2 linked regions of the Solanum lycopersicum genome follow. Each later gene encodes a partner of the first gene's protein in a complex. Links are inferred from orthologs where the notes say so. Each region holds a gene or a part of one and is shown on either strand. Other genes may lie near its edges.

Region 1 (4,916 bases):
AAAATTGCTTTTGAAAGATTATCAACTCAAGTGTAGTAATTTATTTTTTTTGAATAAAAGAAGATGAAAAAAATCATGAAGATTATTTAGCAACTAATAAGGGAATCAATGTAAAACCTACAAGAGAAGGAATAAGAAGTTAAGAATCGTATGATAATCGAAACGTAATAAACAACAAACAATGATAGATATCAAAAGCAAAAACTATATTATTACAAATAATACGACAACAAACATCAACATCCATTGTTTGTTAACCTTTTACCCCATTGAGTGTCCTCCACGCCCTCATGTTTAAGATAGTATTCTTGGTAATTAGAAGTTATTTTGTGTCGTGACTGATTAGCTCTCTGAATACTTCTTCTGCCTATTCTACTGCTTCTCGAATCTACTATAACTAACCTCTCATATCTCCTCAGTGCAGCATATGCACATCTCTTATTCATACGTTTAGATCATCTCAGAGTTACTTTCTTCCTATCACAAGAGGTTACTCTGTCCTTATCTTGGATATTCTTATTCATAATTTTATTGCTCTTGGTATATAGGTCCACTCTGAACATACAATTAAGGTATAATATATTTTCATTTTCATTTTTAGTAGATTACCAAATAAATTTTATGATATATTTATCTTACAATAACATATTTAACGTATTTTTACAGAATATTAAAAGGTAAATATGTATACAAATTCTACTCATATTAAATAAAATAAAGTTTTGTTTTTATACTCTCCACTCAATTATCAAACCTTACTAATCATAATAAAAAGGGAAACATTCAAAATAAAGGAATCAAGAAAAAATATTAAAGCAAACAAGAAAATTCATACTAAAAACACAAGCATCTATGACAAAGTAATATGATAATCCAAGTGCAATATATAACAAAAAAAAATAGAATTACAAGAAATTTCTCGATAATATTGTGACTCGTTTGGTTTGAATTCATATTTGATGGAATTAATTATGATGAAATAAGTTATGCTAAGAATATTTTTTATTGACTATTTGGTTTGTTGTATTCAAAATAATAAATCTTCTAAACAACATATATGTGTACGAGAACACCCTTCATGAATGTGAGAAGTAATATATAAAAAGTGTTTAAAGGGATATTTTTGTCAATTAGTCATTTTGTCCATGGATAAGTTATTTCAGAATTATTATACCATTCAAGAAAAGAAATAACTTATATCGGTACTAATTATTAATTGTAGGATCCTTTAATACTAGAAATTTTTTAAAATTAAATAAGGACATATTAGGAAAAAAAATTATTGTCCTTTCTTGATTTGTTAAAATAGACAAGTAAATAGGAATAGATATAAAAGAATATGTGGTCACATGAATAAGTAAATAGTGATAGAGGGAGTAGTTAACAAAGTAAAAATAGTTTATATTTAATGGGGCTAGAGGATAAATTTGGCGGCTATTTATGTAAAGATACCTGCACATCCAACCGATTCGTAATTCGGGTCACACAGCCCAATGTCGTCGCAATATAAAACCCTTTTAGCTTTGCACATATCCCGCAAAAAAAAAGAAAAAAAGAAAAAGAAAATTCACTGAAAAATACCGTTCCCTCCAATTCTCTACAAACCCTCGTAAAAATCCCCAAACTCCACAAAACCCAAACCCTCACGCACTCAAAACAGAAGAAGAAAAATCTTAAGGCAATTCTTGAAATTGTTTAATGGGGAAAGACGAAGATGAGATGCGGGGTGAAATTGAGGAGAGGCTGATAAACGAGGAGTACAAGATTTGGAAGAAGAATACTCCTTTTCTTTACGATCTGGTTATTACTCACGCGCTTGAATGGCCTTCGCTCACCGTCGAATGGTTACCGGACCGGGAAGAGCCGTCGGGAAAGGATTATTCCGTTCAGAAGATGATTTTGGGGACTCATACATCGGAAAATGAGCCTAACTATCTCATGCTTGCTCAGGTTCAGCTGCCTCTTGAGGATGCTGAGAATGATGCCCGCCACTATGATGATGATCGGTCTGAATTTGGCGGATTTGGTTGTGCCAATGGCAAGGTTTGAATCTATTCTGTTTTATGCCTTGTTTGGCTGTTTTATATGGGTTTTCATTTTCTGGATGTTTTATTTTACTACATTTTTCTGGCTAATTTCAGTGTTAACGTCTGAGATTTACTTGTTTTGTACTAGAGTTTAGTTGTTCTAGGGCAGCCTGTTTAAGAATCTCTTGAATTTTGATAGCTTTGGGATTATGTTATATAGTAAATGGTTTAAAGTTTATTAACAACACTATAACAAGTAACCAGTGTAGTCCCAGAGGGTAGTGTGTACACAGACTTACTCCTACCTTGTGGAGTTCGAGAGGTTGTTTACAATAGACCGTTGGCTCAAAGTTTTCTCCTTTGCAGCGTAGGTACTAGGGAGTTGTGAATTGGAAGTTGTCAGTTCATTCATGGATTTTGCTCAAGGTACAGTTAATATTTCATCAAAAATTCACCAAAGGGGAAAAAAGGGGGCCTAGCATAATTAGTGCACCATTTTCTGACCCACCACCACACCAAATAAGGGCACCTAATAGGTCAATCCCTTTGGGCAGAGTGAACTCTTTGACTGACATTTTCTTATTGAAATTTTATGCGTTGTTGTAGTTTTTATTATTCCTCTGCTTCTTTCTCTGTCCTGATATTGTTGAAAGGTTCTCTTCATAAAGGGCACTTGAGGCTTTTATATCATATATGAATAATGATGCTTGGACCCCAAATCAGTAGTGATTTGCTGGTAGCTTAGGTGAAATGGGTTGTAACAAAGCCAATGCTTCCTGATTCGGCTAGCGTTCTAAAACTAATGGTTTAGTTGCTCCACTCATTTGAATGTGAAGATGATTGGAAGCAACATTGCTGCAGGAGAAAACTGATGAAGTTTTGAATAGTCAGCTAGAACTTTAAAAAGCTTATGAGAATACCACTTATGACTATCACCTTTTAGTGTAGATTGATGTCACAGATATCAAAGGTACTATCCACATAGAGTCAGTGATAAATTGATAATGAATTCTTCTATTTATGATGAGGGCATGGAACTGTAAAATCTTATTCTCTAAAAAGGTTTTAAAAATGGTCTGTCAGTTCCAATTATCACTTGAAGGCCTTACTCTGATATCTTTTTGCTGTACTATTATTTCCCATAATATCAGAGTGAATTTCTTGTCTCTGTTTCAACATTGAGTGGCTTATGTATAATGATAAATATTTCTCTTTCAGGTACAAATAATCCAGCAAATAAATCACGATGGAGAGGTTAATCGGGCTCGATATATGCCCCAAAACCCATTTATCATTGCAACTAAGACAGTTAGTGCTGAAGTATATGTTTTTGACTACAGTAAACATCCATCTAAGCCTCCTCTAGATGGTGCATGCAATCCAGATTTGAGGTTAAGAGGCCACAGTACAGAGGGGTATGGTTTGTCTTGGAGTCAATTTAAGCAGGGTCATCTATTGAGTGGTTCAGATGACTCACATATATGTTTATGGGACATTAATGCCACTCCCAAAAATAAGGCTCTAGAGGCTATGCAGATATTTAAGGTTTGCCTCGTGTTTTTTTTTCTGACGAGTCTGCAGAGGATAGATATTGCCATGTTACACTGCATAGATTATCAATTTGTTGCACCCACTTACTACTTGTAGTTTTATCTTGTGCAAATAACCATAATTGATAATTGGAGAAGAACTTGTATGCTTTCCCTTCCAGCAAACACCCCCAGGCACCTCGAAGTAAAAAAAGATCAAGCGAAGCAGAATAGCATGAGTTCTCTTTATTAATATCATGTTACAAAGTTAAACTGTAACTTCAATAGTGTCCCAACTTTTGTCTCAAAGGATATTTTTGGTATCATCTTCTCTACTATTTGCTGTCTGAAGCTTCAGTCTACCTAGCATGGACAAGAATCTTGTCTCTCGTATTATTTTCTCATTAAGCTTTTGTCAGCTGTTGTTGGTTTATTCTAATATTTAAAATGTGTAGGTTCATGAAGGTGTTGTTGAGGATGTAGCTTGGCATCTGAGGCATGAGTATTTATTTGGCTCTGTTGGGGATGATCAGTATTTGCACGTATGGGATCTGCGAACTCCATCAGTGACCAAGCCTATACAATCTGTAGTTGCACATCAAAGTGAGGTGCGGCTTAGACTTCTTAGCTGGACTTTTCCACGTTTATGTAGTTAATAATGCTTCCCTTTTGACTGGTGTAAGAACCACTCAGATATGTCTTCTTAACATTGTTGGCAGTCTTTTGATTTTCTTGCACAGAAATGTGAGGATCTTGTGCTTACAAAATAATTATAGTTTTTCTTGAAACTAGAATTAGTGTTTCCCAATTTTTACCTGTACTTTTTTTTCTTTTCATTTTCGTGGGTTTACATTATTGGATGTGCAAACAAGTGATTGCTGTGTGTGTAAACTATAATGTGATGCTCATGTCTGGATGAATTTCTGTTTCGTTTTAAATGGTTTAAGGAGAAGATCCTGCCTTCCATACTCTCTGCTGATTATTAAATGTACAATATCATAGAAGGATGATCATTACTGCACATGGCCTATTATGAAAAACATTTCTGAATGCAGTTATCTAGATTTTTTGTGAACAAGCAGTCTTGTGTTGATGATTGTACATGATTGACCTCCTTTCTCTTTTGATCAGGTTAACTGCTTAGCTTTCAACCCCTTTAATGAATGGGTTGTAGCAACGGGGTCTACAGACAAGACAGTTAAATTATTTGATCTACGCAAGATTTCTACTGCACTTCATACTTTGGATTGTCACAAGTAAGATGTCTTCCTTACATATACTTTTGAGGAAAATGTTGGCTCCGTCATCATTCGTGTTAAATAGTATAATAGAAGCTTGTTCATCTGTATTTACAGTTGCT
Region 2 (4,326 bases), on another chromosome or scaffold:
CTATTGTGGCATTTAATGTATGAGTCATATGATGAAATTATGAGAAAGAATGATAAGAGCATAGACTTGGAAACACCACAAGAGTAATAGATAACCAGTTTGGGTGCATGCCCTGTAGATCTACATCTGAGACTACATTTTTGTGTAGGAGATTGATGGAAGTTTATCGTAGACAAAATTTGCACATGGTGTTCATTGGCCTAGAAAAATTATATGATAGAGTACAAAGAAAGGTTCTTTGGTGGGTGTCGTCGTGTCGGAGAAGAAAGGACCTGTTAACTATATAAAAGTCATAAAAGACATGTATGAAAGAGTCTTCACTAGCCTGAGAACTGTAGTAGGGAATGCGAAGGAGATCTTGTAATCATGGATTTACACCAGGGATTGTCATTGAACCCATACTTGTTTATGCTAGCTACGGATGAGCTATCCAACATAATACAAGACGAGGGTCTAACCAACATGATACAAGATGAGGTCACTTAACTCATGTCCCATCCCTTCCCCTTGCCCCCTGGACATGATCCTATTCGACCACACCAAAGCCACCAAAGGAGATGTAAATTAAACAAGATGCAAGAGAAATAAGAATCTACTAAAACTATTGAATCAAGCAGAGAGACTAGGACTAATTAACTATAATAAGAACAGAAGAAAAGCAAGAAATATTATACAGAATGAACTGAAGCAACTAGCTCTAGAATATGGGTATACCCAAAATACTAACACCAGAGAAACCACAAGAACTATGAAATATATGGCACTATGGATCAAGAAACGAAGAGTCCGAGGGCAGAGTTAAATCAAGAGCAAAGTGAAGAAGGGATAGAGATATGCAATATTACACAATTAACAATGATACAAGAAAGATAGATCTGAAGACAATATAGGGAACCAATCTGAAAACTAGATCTGAAATGTAACTCTAGATATGCATATAGCAATGAAACAAATCTGAAAACCAGAAACTGAAGGCAAACTGATGTGAAACTGGAATAATTTGGGAAGATAGAACCTGTAACTTGAAGAGGAGATAGGAGGTACTTCATCCGGGCACTGGGGAGGTAAGCGGTCCGTGTTCTGCTGCTGCCCTTGTAACTTGAGACCCAACCCAGAATTATGGAGAAAGAAAACTCTAGAGTTGCTGGAGTAGATGTGCTTTCCAGAGCAGTGGCAGTGATGGACGAGCTGCGGTGGTGAAAGAAAACCCTAGAGTCAGGGTCCAAGAAAGTGAGAGAGAAATAGTCACAGGGAGTTTTGGCGCCGGTGAAGAAGATGGCCGATGAGTGGTTAGTGTGGCGGCAAAATTTCACCGGAGAAGACAGATTGTAACGCTGTCCAAGCAAGTTCTTGAATGAGATGAATTCTTGCACCCAAAGATGAAGGGGGTACATTTTCATGTTATTGCTAACTCAAACGTCATTAGCTTCAAGCGATAAAAGAACAAGGTTAAGAAGATAGGAAATTGTGTTTTTTTTTTTCCATGCAGGCAATTTACTGGGTGAATGAAATTATAGATGAAGATGTTACAAATAGAATCAGAATTGAATAGTTGAAACAAAATAGTGTTTCTGGTTGTTATGTGGTAGAGAGATGCCTACCAAAGTGAAAGGTAAGTTTTTTAGAATAGTTATAAAACCAACAATGCTTTATGAGAGTGATTCTTGGGTCGTGAAAGTTAAACACATTTACAAGAAGAATTTTGAAGAAATACAGATGCTAAGATGAATTTGTGGTCATACTAAATTTGACAAGATTAGAAATGATTATATTACTAGAATGTTTAAGTAGCACACGTCGAGGGGAAAATGTCCGAAAGCTTCTTGAAATAATTTGTTCATCATGTGTCAATCTGCAGTGTAATACACCGGTCTATAGGTGTGCAACCATTGTGAAGGTAAGTGTTAAAAGAGGAGGAAAATGCATCTAAGGACCTAAAATCCTTGGGAACCCATGCAGACATAGCGAAGTGGGGCACAGTGGATAAAAATCTAGATATTCGTTGCCTGTTCTTTTGAGGCGAGGGTTTATCGGAACCACCTCTCTGCCCCACAAATGTAGGGGCAAGGTCTACATACGTCCTACTCTCCTCACACCTCACTTGTGGGACTACAGGAGTTCTGTTATTGTTGTAGTCAATGCTTATTAGAGTATTAGTTGAAAATTTGTTTTAGGCATGTTAGCACTTTTACTGCCCTATACTTTATAGTAGTGGTTTAGCATTTCAGAGATTTGTAGGTTCAAAAAATTATGGAGAACTTTTATTACTTTTTATTTGTATTTGCAAAATATTGGCATGTTGTGAGTTTAAATGGATAACATGATCAATGAGGATTCATATAACAAACCCCAACTTGTTTGGGACTAAGGTGTACTGCTGTTGTGAACTTAATTTTCAATTGCATTATTGAATTATAGTGAACTATTTCCACTATTGTCAGGATGCAGCTGACTAGTTTAGTGAGATGGTTGTTGAATCAATAAAGGAAAAATGTCAAAGAACTAACGACATGTACATAAGCTCTTTTATTTACTGTGGCCTGTGGGATACATACCTCTATAATTAAAATGCAAGCTATGTTTATTATTTAGGACTAAAGATGTTCTATTTCTCTGATTCTTGCAGTTCCTTGAAAAAACAATATTTTGAAGATTGTACAAAAAAATAATATAAGAAAAAAATTATAGCTTTAAAAATGAAGAGAAAAAAAACAATCTACCTTTCACTAGAAACATTTTAGAAGTTCAAATCAAACAACTCAAATATTCATATTAATAAATAAAGTTTTTATAACATCATCCAAGTGCAGACAAATGACTAACATGTTATTAACTAAAATTTAAATAATTTGGTTTTAGGCCACTATATTTTAGTGAATAACATGTTAATCATTTGTATGCACTTGGTTGGATGATGTTATAAAAACATTATTTATTAATATGAAACATAGTTTAGTGAGATGGTTGTAGAATCCATAAAGGAAAAATGTCAAAGAACTAATGACATGTACATCACCTCTTTTATTTACTGTGAGATACAGACCTCTATAATTAAAAAGCAAGCTATTTTTATTAGGATTAAAGATGTTCTATTTCTCCAATTCTTGCAGTTCCTTGAAAAAACAACTGATTGTAGCAAGAGATACCAGGCGTGTAGACATATTATGTTATAGGCTTTCATTGAGCCAAAAACTTTCTTTTGGTGCCGAAAATTGCCCAAAGCTGTATGAAGTTCTAGATGAAGCAGTGAACAAGCTTGAAGCAGATGTTGGCCCTTTGACTGGTTTGCCTGTGAAGATGGCTAGAGGTATAGTGAACAGGCTCTCATTTGGCCCTGCTGTTCAGCAACTTTGTGGCTTGGCTGTTGAGTACATAGATGCCCTTCTCTCTGAGAGAGTGTCTGAAATGCCATCTAATGCTAAGGTCAAAGGTAATACTCATTCTAATTTGTGGTTTGTTTGTGCAGTACATAGATACTCTCCTTATTTTTATTGATTCTGTAGATTTACCTTTCTCTTCATGTGTTATTGTGATGCCTTCATTGGTTTCTTTGTCTAAGCTTGGTACTCATTTGATTTAAGTCAAGTGAAGTAATCAGCATTTACATGGGCTATATTTTTTAGATTGCGAGGTGATAGAATCAAAGCTTGTCAGATTTGAGGATGTCTTTCCCTCATCTGTGACCGTTGTTTTGAGTTCTGAAGGGTCATCTATGGAGAATGTTGTTGGTTACTCCTTGTGGCATCGGAAAGCTGTTGAAACGGAATATCCAGTAGAACCAACTCGAACATTGTTTTCCCCAAACACTAGGTTTGTGCTCTCAGATCTGATGCCAGCTACAGATTATGTTCTCAAGATTGTTTCCCTTGATAGCAAGAAAGAACTGGGAATGTTTGAAGTTCAATTCTGCTCCAGTAAAGCTGAAAATGAACTATCTAATCTGAACATGAAAAGTTTAGAAGTTGAAAGAAGTCAAAGTCCACCAACAAATTGCAGCAACCTTTCTAATCCTTCTTCAGTGGAGGATGAAACTAATAACATCGTGCTATGCAGCAATGAGGCTGAGAACAGAGGGGATAATTGTCTTTCTTGTTGTGATAACACTGATAAAGCAATTTCTACAGACTTGTGCTGCACCACGGTCGCCTTTGCTAGTAAAAGTCATATAGGAAATGAAGAAGTAATGGTATCTTTAGGTGATGAGGAAGATAGCATTGTCAAAGTAACCTCCTTGCCAAATACTGATGCTATAAATCTTGAGAACAAGCAATGTTCAGATGTTCAAACAACAGAAGAGACGAGCACTGATAATGGGTCAAATGCACC

What was found. The genes of interacting proteins can lie anywhere in the genome.
Region 2: MSI1 (region 1) and VIN3 share a complex: the UniProt entries of both Arabidopsis thaliana proteins name them as parts of the plant homeodomain / polycomb repressive complex. The link is inferred for Solanum lycopersicum from reciprocal best matches to the Arabidopsis thaliana genes MSI1 and VEL1.

What each region holds. Positions count from the first base shown.
Region 1 is NC_090800.1:88,997,273-89,002,188, reverse strand, and holds the start of MSI1 (WD-40 repeat-containing protein MSI1), read left to right. Parts: upstream 1-1,556; 5' UTR 1,557-1,698; coding exon 1,699-2,043; intron 2,044-3,245; coding exon 3,246-3,572; intron 3,573-4,011; coding exon 4,012-4,164; intron 4,165-4,687; coding exon 4,688-4,812; intron 4,813-4,916. UniProt on the Arabidopsis thaliana protein: Core histone-binding subunit that may target chromatin assembly factors, chromatin remodeling factors and histone deacetylases to their histone substrates in a manner that is regulated by nucleosomal DNA.
Region 2 is NC_090806.1:12,273,361-12,277,686, forward strand, and holds part of VIN3 (vernalization insensitive 3), read left to right. Parts: intron 1-3,110; coding exon 3,111-3,430; intron 3,431-3,623; coding exon 3,624-4,326. UniProt on the Arabidopsis thaliana protein: Maybe involved in both the vernalization and photoperiod pathways by regulating gene expression. Binds preferentially to dimethylated histone H3 'Lys-9' (H3K9me2).